Drosophila melanogaster: one gene and its partners. The protein of the gene in region 1 purifies or fractionates together with the protein of each later gene. This does not show direct contact. Each region holds a gene or a part of one and is shown in the gene's direction. Other genes may lie near its edges.

The links.
Region 2: the proteins of Mcm3 (region 1) and Psf1 purify together in Drosophila melanogaster (affinity purification with western blotting; 2 studies listed by BioGRID, with this or other methods). This does not show direct contact.
Region 3: the proteins of Mcm3 (region 1) and Cdc45 purify together in Drosophila melanogaster (affinity purification with western blotting; 5 studies listed by BioGRID, with this or other methods). This does not show direct contact.

The regions. Positions count from the first base shown.
Region 1 is NC_004354.4:5,321,711-5,325,464, forward strand, and holds the start of Mcm3 (minichromosome maintenance 3), read left to right. Parts: upstream 1-2,144; 5' UTR 2,145-2,286; coding exon 2,287-3,645; intron 3,646-3,708; coding exon 3,709-3,754. Other genes in the region: Rnp4F (RNA-binding protein 4F), read right to left, coding at 1-27, 109-617, 680-697. UniProt on the Drosophila melanogaster protein: Acts as a component of the Mcm2-7 complex (Mcm complex) (Mcm complex) which is the putative replicative helicase essential for 'once per cell cycle' DNA replication initiation and elongation in eukaryotic cells.
Region 2 is NT_037436.4:1,246,350-1,249,695, reverse strand, and holds Psf1 (partner of Sld five 1), read left to right. Parts: upstream 1-2,018; 5' UTR 2,019-2,021; coding exon 2,022-2,630; 3' UTR 2,631-2,710; downstream 2,711-3,346. Other genes in the region: Sac1 phosphatase, read right to left, coding at 1-1,405; CG32318 (uncharacterized protein), read left to right, coding at 3,063-3,142, 3,209-3,346.
Region 3 is NC_004354.4:1,028,464-1,032,217, reverse strand, and holds the start of Cdc45 (cell division cycle 45), read left to right. Parts: upstream 1-1,661; 5' UTR 1,662-1,890; coding exon 1,891-2,801; intron 2,802-2,853; coding exon 2,854-3,670; 3' UTR 3,671-3,754. Other genes in the region: CG14630 (uncharacterized protein), read right to left, coding at 108-694; Rpp21 (ribonuclease P/MRP subunit p21), read right to left, coding at 765-1,149, 1,209-1,375.

The DNA.
Region 1 (3,754 bases):
TCGATCTTTTCCAGATCATTCAGTTTGCTGCATTAACGAGCATCAACATTAGCTAATGCCGATATTGAAAAAATGGAAAATGGGAGTGGGAGAAGCAGGCAAACTCACAATGCGATTCCAATGAGCGAGACCATTTGGGCAAACTTTTTGCTGGGCAACGCATTCAGCTCCTGATACGAGCGCTCTAGCTGATTTCCGCCGCCAGCGTTGTCGCTATCACTGTCACTGTCACTGGACACCTCACTGTTCGATTCCAATTCCGAGCCTTCGATCACGCCCACATCATCGCTACTGCTGCTGGAATCATTGCGCGCTCTGCCACGGCCAGCGGCATTGCCTCCCTCAGTCTCCTCCACTGACGGCTCGTCGTCCGATGAGATCAACTCAATGGTGGTCATATCCCCGCCGGCGGACGACGGTGGCCAGGTTGGGCGCGATCGTTGGCGCAGCTCCTCCGACTTGTGCTCCTCCTCCTGCTGCGGCGACTCACTGTGCCCCTGCTGCGGCGAGCCCTTGCCCTGATCGGGTATCACGATCAGATCATACTCGTCATACGCATCGTCGTCCAAATCCTCTGCCGGCATCTCGTCCAGCTCCTTCTCCAGCTGCCTTTCCAGCTGCAATATATTGGGCATACGCATAAGGGCGGCGCCTATTGGAGCTATAATCTGACACTCACCTGCTTGTCGGCGTCCATGCTTCAACCGTTTATTTTGGTGGAAAACTTTTCGCTTTCCGTGGAACTGCAATTTTTCCCCCCCAAAAAAAATACAGGAAATAAAAAAACAAAAAAAAAACCGCAAACGCAGGGCTGGCCAATCTAATATCGCGTTGTTGCGCTTATCGTGGAAAATTATTTGGTTTCAGGTTTGGTTTCCCTATTGGGCACTTTTTCTTGGAAAAACTTTCCAAGCACTTACTTTCTGAGAATTCGGTTAACGAAAACTTATCATTTTCTGTCAAGAAACACCGGTAAAGTGTGAATAATATGCGAATTTTTTTTTCGTTATAACAGTGTGACCAGTGCGTAATATCGATAGCTGTGCGCACTCGATAGTTGCGGCAGTCCAGACAATGGCTGTGTTACCAGCAGTGCAGTGAAGACTCGTGATGAGCAATTTGAAGACTAATTTCGGTAATATGTGGTCAATATTAACTGGTTTCTTTGGGCGGTCAGAAATGTATAGCAAAGTCAAATGATAAACTAAATCCTACCAAGAAATATAATTTATTTTAAACATATATATATTTTATAGAAATAAATAAAAATGGAATTTATTTTACTTAAGTGCTATATATATATGTATCATAAAATGTAAACAATTTCTGTTTCTTTTACACAAACTATTTAATAATAATAAACTATTTAATACGCAGCCACATCATAAATGGATTAAGTGTAGACAGTACTCAGGCAAATAATAAAAATATTATACCATTATATGAATGGATTAAGTGTGGACAGTAATTAAGCAAATAATAAATATATTACTATATACTATAATACTATAATAGGAATTGATTAGGTGTAAACAGTAATAAGTCATATAATACATATATTGTATATATTATAGGATATAGTAATAATAATATAATAATAATTAGGCAAATAATAAATACAAATATTATACTATTATAAGAATGGTTTAAGTGTAATAATATTATATATTATATAATAATTAAGCAAATAATAAATATATAATACTATTATAAGAATGGATTAAGTTTAAACAGTAATTAGGCACATAATACATATATTGTATATATTATAGGAATGTATTAAGTGTGGACAGTAATTTAGCAAATAATAAATATATTTTACTATTATAGCAATGGATTAAATGTAGATATTAATTAGGCAGATAATAAATATATACTACTATTATAGGAATTATTTGATAGTTTTCTATATTGTATGCATTACAAATTAAGTCAGATGTTCGGTGGAAACGTTTTAATTATAAATTTGCATATCAACGTATATTTGCTTATATTAGTTAGTTTGCTATGTCCACTATGTTTTATATAATAAAGTTAATAATTATATGTAAATATATAAAAAAAGGAAATAATTATAGCATATATATTTTGCCCGCGCAACCAGTCTTCAAATGCCCACAGTATGGTCACACTACGCTTTTCCCGCGAAAAAACTTTGCATTCGGCGTGCAATTTGCGACATTAGTTTTGTTTGCATTTGCGTTTGCCTCCGAACGGATCGAAGTTGATCCATAAGCGAAATCGAAAGAAGTTTTGTGAACTCCAGTGTACAGCTTAAGTCACAGAATGGCCCACGAGGGGGAGCAGTTCATCAAGGACATACAACGCGAGTATGTGGACTTTCTGGACGACGAGGAGGATCAGGGCATCTATGCGGGCCACGTCAAGGATATGATCGCGGAGAAGAGCAAGCGCCTGATCGTGAATGTCAACGATCTAAAACGCAAGAATCCGCAACGTGCATTGGGGCTACTGAGCAACGCGGCGGATGAGCAGCTGGCCTTTGGCAGGGCGCTCAAGGAGTATGCGTCCACGGTTGATCCGGGCTATGCCAAAATGCATGAGGATCTGTTTGTCGGCTTCGAGGGCTGCTTTGGCAATCGGCATGTGACGCCGCGCTCCCTCACCTCCATCTATCTGGGCAACATGGTGTGCGTGGAGGGCATTGTTACCAAGGTATCGCTGATTCGTCCCAAGGTGGTGCGCAGCGTTCACTATTGCCCCAATACGCGTAAGGTAATGGAGCGCAAATACACCGATCTCACATCGTTCGAGGCTGTGCCATCTGGCGCTGCCTATCCCACAAAGGACGAGGATGGCAATCTGCTGGAGACCGAATACGGTTTGTCCGTTTACAAGGATCACCAGACGCTGACCATTCAAGAGATGCCCGAGAAGGCGCCGGCTGGCCAATTGCCGCGTTCGGTGGATATTGTGTGCGACGACGATCTCGTGGATCGCTGCAAGCCCGGCGATCGTGTACAGATTGTGGGCAGCTATCGCTGTTTGCCGGGCAAACGCGGTGGCTACACCTCGGGCACGTTCCGCACCGTGCTGCTGGCCAACAATATATCGCTGCTCAGCAAGGAGAGCAATTTGGACATATCGCGCGAAGACATCATGCTGTGCAAGAAGCTAGCGAAGAATAACGACATCTTCGAGCTGCTCAGCAAGAGTTTGGCGCCCTCGATTCATGGACATGCCTATGTGAAGCAGGCCATTCTTTGCCTGCTGCTCGGCGGCGTTGAGAAGATCCTGCCGAATGGCACACGCCTGCGTGGCGATATTAATGTCTTGCTTATCGGCGATCCTTCGGTGGCCAAGTCGCAGCTACTGCGCTACGTCTTGAATACGGCACCAAGGGCCATACCGACAACGGGTCGCGGATCCAGCGGCGTCGGTCTGACGGCGGCGGTTACCACGGATCAGGAGACCGGTGAGCGGCGATTGGAGGCGGGCGCCATGGTCCTGGCCGATCGCGGTGTCGTCTGCATTGATGAGTTTGACAAGATGAGCGACATCGATCGCACAGCCATTCACGAGGTGATGGAACAGGGTCGTGTTACCATTTCCAAAGCGGGCATCCATGCCTCGCTCAATGCTCGCTGCTCCGTTTTGGCAGCCGCTAATCCGGTGTACGGAAGGGTAAGAGTCCATCCGAATCCGTCTGTTCATCGCTTTTCTTGCTAATTTCGTCTTCAATTCCAGTATGATCAATATAAGACGCCGATGGAAAATATTGGACTGCAGGATT
Region 2 (3,346 bases), on another chromosome or scaffold:
CAGACTTGGTCCTCTTGCCCGTCCTGGTGAAGTCGGTCTTGAGCGCACACGTTCCGGAATATTGTAGCGACACCAGATCCGCGTTGTCCGCCCACACGCCCTTGAAAATGCTCTCGAAAATGTCGGAGGCATGTTCCACTTTCTGGCCCACATGAAGCACTCCCAGCTTCTGGAGCACCGCAGTGAGGGACCTGCGGGCCAGCATGCTCTGCACGACGTTCGTCCTATCGAGACAGTCGATACAATTCGTTCGGAAGACACCAGTCTGCGTGGACACCAATTTGCCGTCGTCGAAGACATGATAGACACCGAACTGATCCTGCTCATGGGCGAGGCGATCGATGAGTATGTTCAGCCGGTCCCAGCGCATCTTACGGCACTCGCTGTGGAAGTCGAAAGACTCGTATCGCACTTGTGGATTTCCCATTTCTCGAACCAGGCGGGCATAGGTCGCCTCGAGCTCGCCTTCGGCACCTTTGTGATCCACTAGATTCACAGCCACATTGTTGCCATACAGCCGGATCTGTTCCTTAAAGTGGAGCCCGCAGGCGGCCAAATGATCCTTGCCCGGCACCAGAACGGGTCGTGGCTTATAGCGCAAATTGGGCAGCTGGTGCCAGTGGAAGGGCATGCTGCCTCGTGTCTGCACGAATCCAGTCAGCTGCCCGTTGAACTCCACTATTTGCTCGGTCTCTACGAAGTTCGCAACATGGCCCTGCTCGTCGCTGCCTCGGCAGAAGAGCCGTGTGCCCGCCCGCTGCACGGAACGCCTGGTGATGATGCTCCAGAAGAATGTCTGCCCGTTGATCTGCACCTGGTTGATAGACACGAAGCCCAGGACGAGTGGCAGCTGGAACTTCTCCATCTTATCGCAGTTGAACTGCCGCAGCACATAGCCATTCCAAACGAATCGCTGCTCAGCGCGCTGGAGCAACCCGGATACTTCAGGCCGCGATTGTGCCACCTCCCGCTGTCGCTGCAGCGAATTGGTAAGGTCGTAGCGGTAGGAGAAGTAAAAGAACTTGGTGTCAAGTGTCTGGCGTAGCAGTCGCAAGTAGTTTTCGTTCTCCTTGCGCTGGAAGGAATTCGGAATGTAAGGTATGATGTCATAGCCCGCTAATCTCCACACAACTGCGCCATTGAGCACGCCCACGAAGAGGCGGTGGGTCGCCACCAGAAGGTAGTCGCAGCTCAGTAGGTGAATGGTTCCCAGCACACCACAAATCCTCCTGGTGGGGCGAAGGTTGGCCACAAGACCTCCGCTCGCTGGCTGAACCCTGGTGACTTTGTCGTGGCGCCCGATGACCAGCAACTCATCTCCTCCATTCGGCTCGATGATGAAGCTCTGCGGTGCGATGTACAGGTTCATGTCATCGTACACGGCGTTCTCCTCCCTGCTGTCCATGATTTCCGGGGGCGGTGGCTGGCCCACTTCGAAGACTAAGGGTTAAAAATGGGATAAGGGTTAATAGCTATAGCCAGTGCTGCTTCCTCTTTCTCTGCTCACTTCCTGTAATCGGGGATTCACTGTCGCTATCACCGCTGTCACACACGCACAGCACCAAAATCAGCCACACAATCAGGAGGTTACTCGTTCTTTATTGATTTAACACACAAATTGCAGTTCATCTGATTTTTGGGCCAACTCTTTGCCACTACGTGTGTGATAGGGATGGACCAGTTGGCTAAATAGCCGAATAGCGAATAGCTAATATATTCGATACTTTAAGATGTTCACACCCACTTACTTGCATGTGGTACTCCACTCCCGCAGTTGCACCAATCTAACCAGGATGGCATTTCCTCTTAGGACGGCATAATTTGGGCCTCGTAAGCTAAATTTTGATAAATCACCGTTTCAAATCTATTTTAAAGGAACATGGCTACTGAGGATGAAATTTTTGTTATTTTTTGAAATATACCAAAAGAAATACCAAGTATCGATACCACAAGTCGACGAACATTTTGGCGCGAATCCATCACTAGATCCCCAAACCAAAGAAAAACAGAGAGGATCAACAATGAGCCGACAAACAAAAATGTTCGGCGAGAAAGCCTTCGACCTGCTAAAAGAACTGGAGAGATCGTCGCAGACAATTCCCGCCTTCGACGACGATGGGGTGCGCCAGGTGCTGGAGGAGATCAAGGCGATATTCGAGGAGAACGTGGCCCAGGCCTCCAGCTACAATGCTTCCGGGGATCGCAGTCTGTGGCCCCTGCTCAACTTCAGGCACGCAGCTCTCCAGAGGAACAAGAGGTGCCTGCTGGCCTACCTATACGAGCGGTGCAGGAGGATCAAGGCCCTCAGGTGGGAGTTTGGACCCATTATCCCCGGGGACATCAAGCAGGCACTCTGCGAACCGGAGGTCACCTTCTTCAACAACTACTCCAAGTCCCTGGCTGCCTACATGTGCAGTGCGGGCTACAACCAGGGCTTGCCCATTGATCTAACCAACAATCTGCGTCCGCCCAAGTCACTTTACATCGAGGTGCGCTGCATGGAGGACTATGGGAAGTTCGAGCTGGACGACGGCGAGGTGATCCACCTGAAGAAGAACAGCCAGCACTATCTGCCCCGAGCTCAGGTGGAGTCTCTCGTGAGGCAGGGCATTCTTCACCACATAGCCTAGTCGGGATTATTTGATAATAAGAGTTTACTATACATATTTAATGGTTTAATGTAGAACAAATAAAAGATAAAAAATTATTTAATTCAAATAATTTGAACATTCTGTAGTTTTCCAATACTTGTATTTTTCGATGTTGGTATTTTCAGGGTGCCGTGTTGCGGTCACACTATTTGCGCATTATTTTAAAATTGAACGGACAACTGAAGACGCTGCTTCTCTCTGTTCTCATTGGAAATAGTGCGAAAATTGGTTTTCCACGCCAGCCTTCTGTAAATAGTAGTTACAGTTATCAGCATTCGGCTCGGTGGAAGGTGAAGCACAAGGATTTCCAGGAATCAAACACACACACACACGCATACCGATACACGCGACAGGCGTCATTTTTTGGACTGTACGCGCTAAAACCACAATTAATTGTTTCAATTGATCAATATGGACATATCTGGTGGGAATACGTCGCGCCAGCCCCAAAAGAAGTCCAACCAAAACATCCAGGTGTATGTGCGCGTCAGGTGAGTTTGTATATGTAACCAAAACCCCTTAAAAAGATCTACATATATCTTCTATATCTTTTGTAGACCCCTTAATTCTCGGGAACGTTGCATCCGCTCGGCCGAAGTCGTGGATGTGGTCGGACCACGGGAAGTGGTCACCCGCCACACGCTGGACTCCAAGCTCACCAAGAAGTTCACCTTTGACCGCAGTTTTGGCCCCGA
Region 3 (3,754 bases), 4.3 Mb from region 1:
AGTGATAATATTTAGTGGACTGATAGATAATACAGCTCTCGGCAAATGTGAGTTTTATGACCCTGGTACTGTACGATGAAGTATGTCATCTATTGGTTAATATTTACCCGTAGGTGGTGCGTTTTATGTAGCCAATTCGTTCGGCCAATTTCTTAGCCACATTTATGTCGTTGGGTGCCCCTTTCAGAATGGCGAATCCTTGGACTGCCAGTGCCTCAAGCCAAACTCTCAGGGCTGCATCTTGCTCCAGCACATCCTCGTATTGGAATTCTCTTTTCACATCCTCGAACTCCGTTTTTCCCCAGAGTTGAGCGGGTGGCTTGTAGACCTCCTCCAAGTAATGCTTTCTGCCAGTCTCTCCAAAGTCCCTTTCCCTCAGCCAGCCTAGATCGAAGGTGCTCCTGTGCTTGTCCTGCCAGATGATCTCCAACTGTTTCCTCTCCTTGTTGTAGGCCACTTGGGACACTGGTATATTCAGCGGGCCACGATCCCAGTGACTTTTTCTTGCTCTTGTGGCGGCGTGGAAGCACTCGGCACACTGACAGTTGTCCCTAAGCCAAACTTGGGGGTACTTCAGGAGATTGCCCTGCTCCTCCTGGACTTCTACATAGTCGGGGCATAGTCGCACACAAGCAAATGTGCTCGCCTGCCGAAGAAGGCTCAGCCGAGAAATAAGTTGCCTACAGCTAAGCATTCCAGGCTCAACTGCCGAGCAATCAGGTGATGGCACAACAGGCAGGCTGGCTGATAAGCAAAGCTTCAGCTTATCGCTCGTCTTTCTCTTTGGGGAGCGAGACCACTTGCACTATGGATTGCGGCTGCTCCAACCAGCAGTCTCTTTGACTGTTCGCCGCAAAGCTTCGCCGGCCGCAGCAGAGTGAGCACTCTAAGAAAAAAGAGACCTGTTCAGTACTTTCTTGGATTTGCTCCTCGGATTCCTCCTGGTTGGTGTTCCCTGTTTTCCGGCTTCTGGGCTTCTTGCGCTGCCTGCGATGGCGCTTTTTCTTCGTTTTGACTGCTCCGTTCGATTGAGCTTGTGCATCAGTCTTGGCCTCCTGTGCTCCTTCCTCCACATGCAGCTCCGTATTCACTCCGGGAATCAGGGGAAGGAAACAGCGCCTGCACAGGGAACGCTTCACGGCCGGGGCCCTTGAAACCAGTTGACGCCATGAATTATTTGCCCATACTCCACTGGAGAAGCCACTTACATGTGCATGATAGCCTTGGTGCCCACATTGCGGCAGAGTTTGCCATAATAGGCGGCCAATTTTGGTTGATTGCCTACTGCCATTAAATTCGAGGCCTGGAACAGGTAGTTCATGCGTGAGGAGATGGCCCGCTGGGTCAGGTGCTTCATCTTGTTGTCCCTGCTCATATTCTGAGGCTTTTGTCGCACAAAGCTGGTCGACTGGTAGACTTTCGTTTTTGTGGCAATTCAAAACACATGGGCGTCGCGGTGTGACCGTATCTGGAGCGCCAAGATATTGCTCCTACTGCAATAGCAGCAACTGCAAAGAGCTCTCAAAATTCAACATTATGTGATTATAATTTCGGTTTTTGGCAGCTCAAAATTTCTGGAAATTCGCAGAATATTCTTTTCCCAGCAACGATTGTATTTCCGCGCCATTCCATTATTTCACACTGGTCACACTGGCTAAGCCAGCTGTTTCCCGCGTTTTTGATTCGCCAATTGCGATTGCCAGAAAAGCAAAAGTGGAGCGGCAGTGGGAAGCTGGAAAATAGCGCAAGCCGCAGGGAAACCCTCAAAATGCAACGCACTGCACTCATGTAGAATTCTACTTTGCATCGTAAGCGATTGGAAAGAGACCGTTGTGTCTAGACGTAGACAGATTAGGCAGACGATTGGGATTCCCGCCAGAAGTGTTCACCATGTTTGTCCAGGATCTGCGCAACGACTTTTACCGCCAGCTGGTTGGCAAGCGCATCTTGATCGTGGTCAACTACGACATCGATGCCATCTGCGCCAGTCGCATCCTGCAGGCCTTGTTCAAGTACGATCACATGCTGTACACCGTGGTGCCCATAATGGGCGTTACGGGTCTGAAGCGGGCCTATGGAGAGCACCAGGGCGACGTTAAGTACGTGGTGTTGGTGAACTGCGGCGGCTGTGTAGATATTGTGGAGCTCCTGCAGCCGTCGGACGACGTGACCTTCTTCATATGCGATTCACATCGCCCGTTGGATGTGTGTAACATCTACAGCGATCGGCAGGTGTGCATCTTGGGGGATGCCTCCTTGGAGGAGAATATTCCAGCGTTCGAGACAATTTTCTATGACTCTGAAGGTGAAGACGAGGATGAGGACGAGTCCTCTGACACGGAACAGCAGCACGACGACAGTGGTGCCGGGGAATCGGACCAGGAGGATCAGGCGCCAAGGAGCCGTAAGCTCAGTCGCCTGGAGCGGCACGAGCAACGCATCCTGAAGCAGCGAGCCCGCCGACAGTGGGAGTCTGAGCGCGACAGGATTATGTTCGAGTACACGCAGTTCAGCTACTACGGCAGGTCCGCCGCTTTGATGGTTTTTGAGTTGGCCTGGAAGCTCTCAAAAGACAACATGGACCTGCTCTGGTGGGCCATTGTGGGCATCACGGAGCAGCTGCTGCTGGGCAAGATCGAGAGTGGAGCGTATACTTTGGAGCTGGAGCAAATCCAGTCGCATGTGTCCCGACTGACGAACAAAACGAATGATCAGAACACGATGAGTGCCTCCAAGATAACCTTCGAGAATGATTTGCATCTGGTCTTGTACCGCCACTGGCCCGTCACGGAATCCATGAGGTGAGCATTGACAGTGTATTCTATGCCATTTAATCATGTAGTATAATCGTAGGTATTCCCGCTACTCCTCATGCCAGCTGAAGCTGTGGACACTGCGCGGAGAGAAGAGATTACACGAGCTGCTGCTCGAGATGGGACTTCCCTTGGTGCACGCCCGCCAAACGTACGGAGCCATGGATTTGGTGTTGCGCAAGGAGTTCTTCTCGATGGTGGAGCGCCTGGCGGAGAAGTACGACATAGCGGACATAGTTTACGGCACCTTTACGCTGAGCTACGGCTACCGCAGCAGATATGCTGCGGCGGACTACGTTTATGCCCTGCTCGCCATCATGGAGTCCGTGAAGAAGCACAAGACTCCGGAGGATTGCTTTCTGGAGGCCTCGGATGCTTTGAGTCGTCAGCACAAGCAGCTGCTGTCTGCAGGCATCGACCAGGCGAAGCTTTTGCATGCTGCTGTCTTTCGGCAGGTGCAGAGCAGCTTGGAGGCACGCCAAGTTCATTCAGCGGGCTCCTTTTTCTACTACGTTCTGCAGGAGGAACACGCGTTCTTCTCATACCCCTATGCCCTTGGACTGTTGGCTCGCTTTCTTTTGCGCGGACATGTGGCCACGAGTAGAGCCAGGCAGGCTTCGGACTTGCCGTTGATCGCAAGTTGTCCCCTGAACGCTTCGGAGGGCATGTGCTTGCTGGTAGGCATTGTCCCGGTAAGGGAAGACTCTCCGCGAAACTTCTTTGGCAAGGCCTTCGAGCAGGCGGCGCAAAAGAGTGGAGTCGCTCTATTGCAGGACTTTTTCGAGCCAGCGGTGGTGCAGCTGCGGCAGAGCGACCTCACACGCTTTCTGGACTCCCTCACGGTGCTGTTAGCCTAATCCACGCCGCTTTCTATTCTACCTGCTACCGACACATCCCTGCTCAATCATATTATGTGCTAAGCTAGTTTTATATCGCGAGAC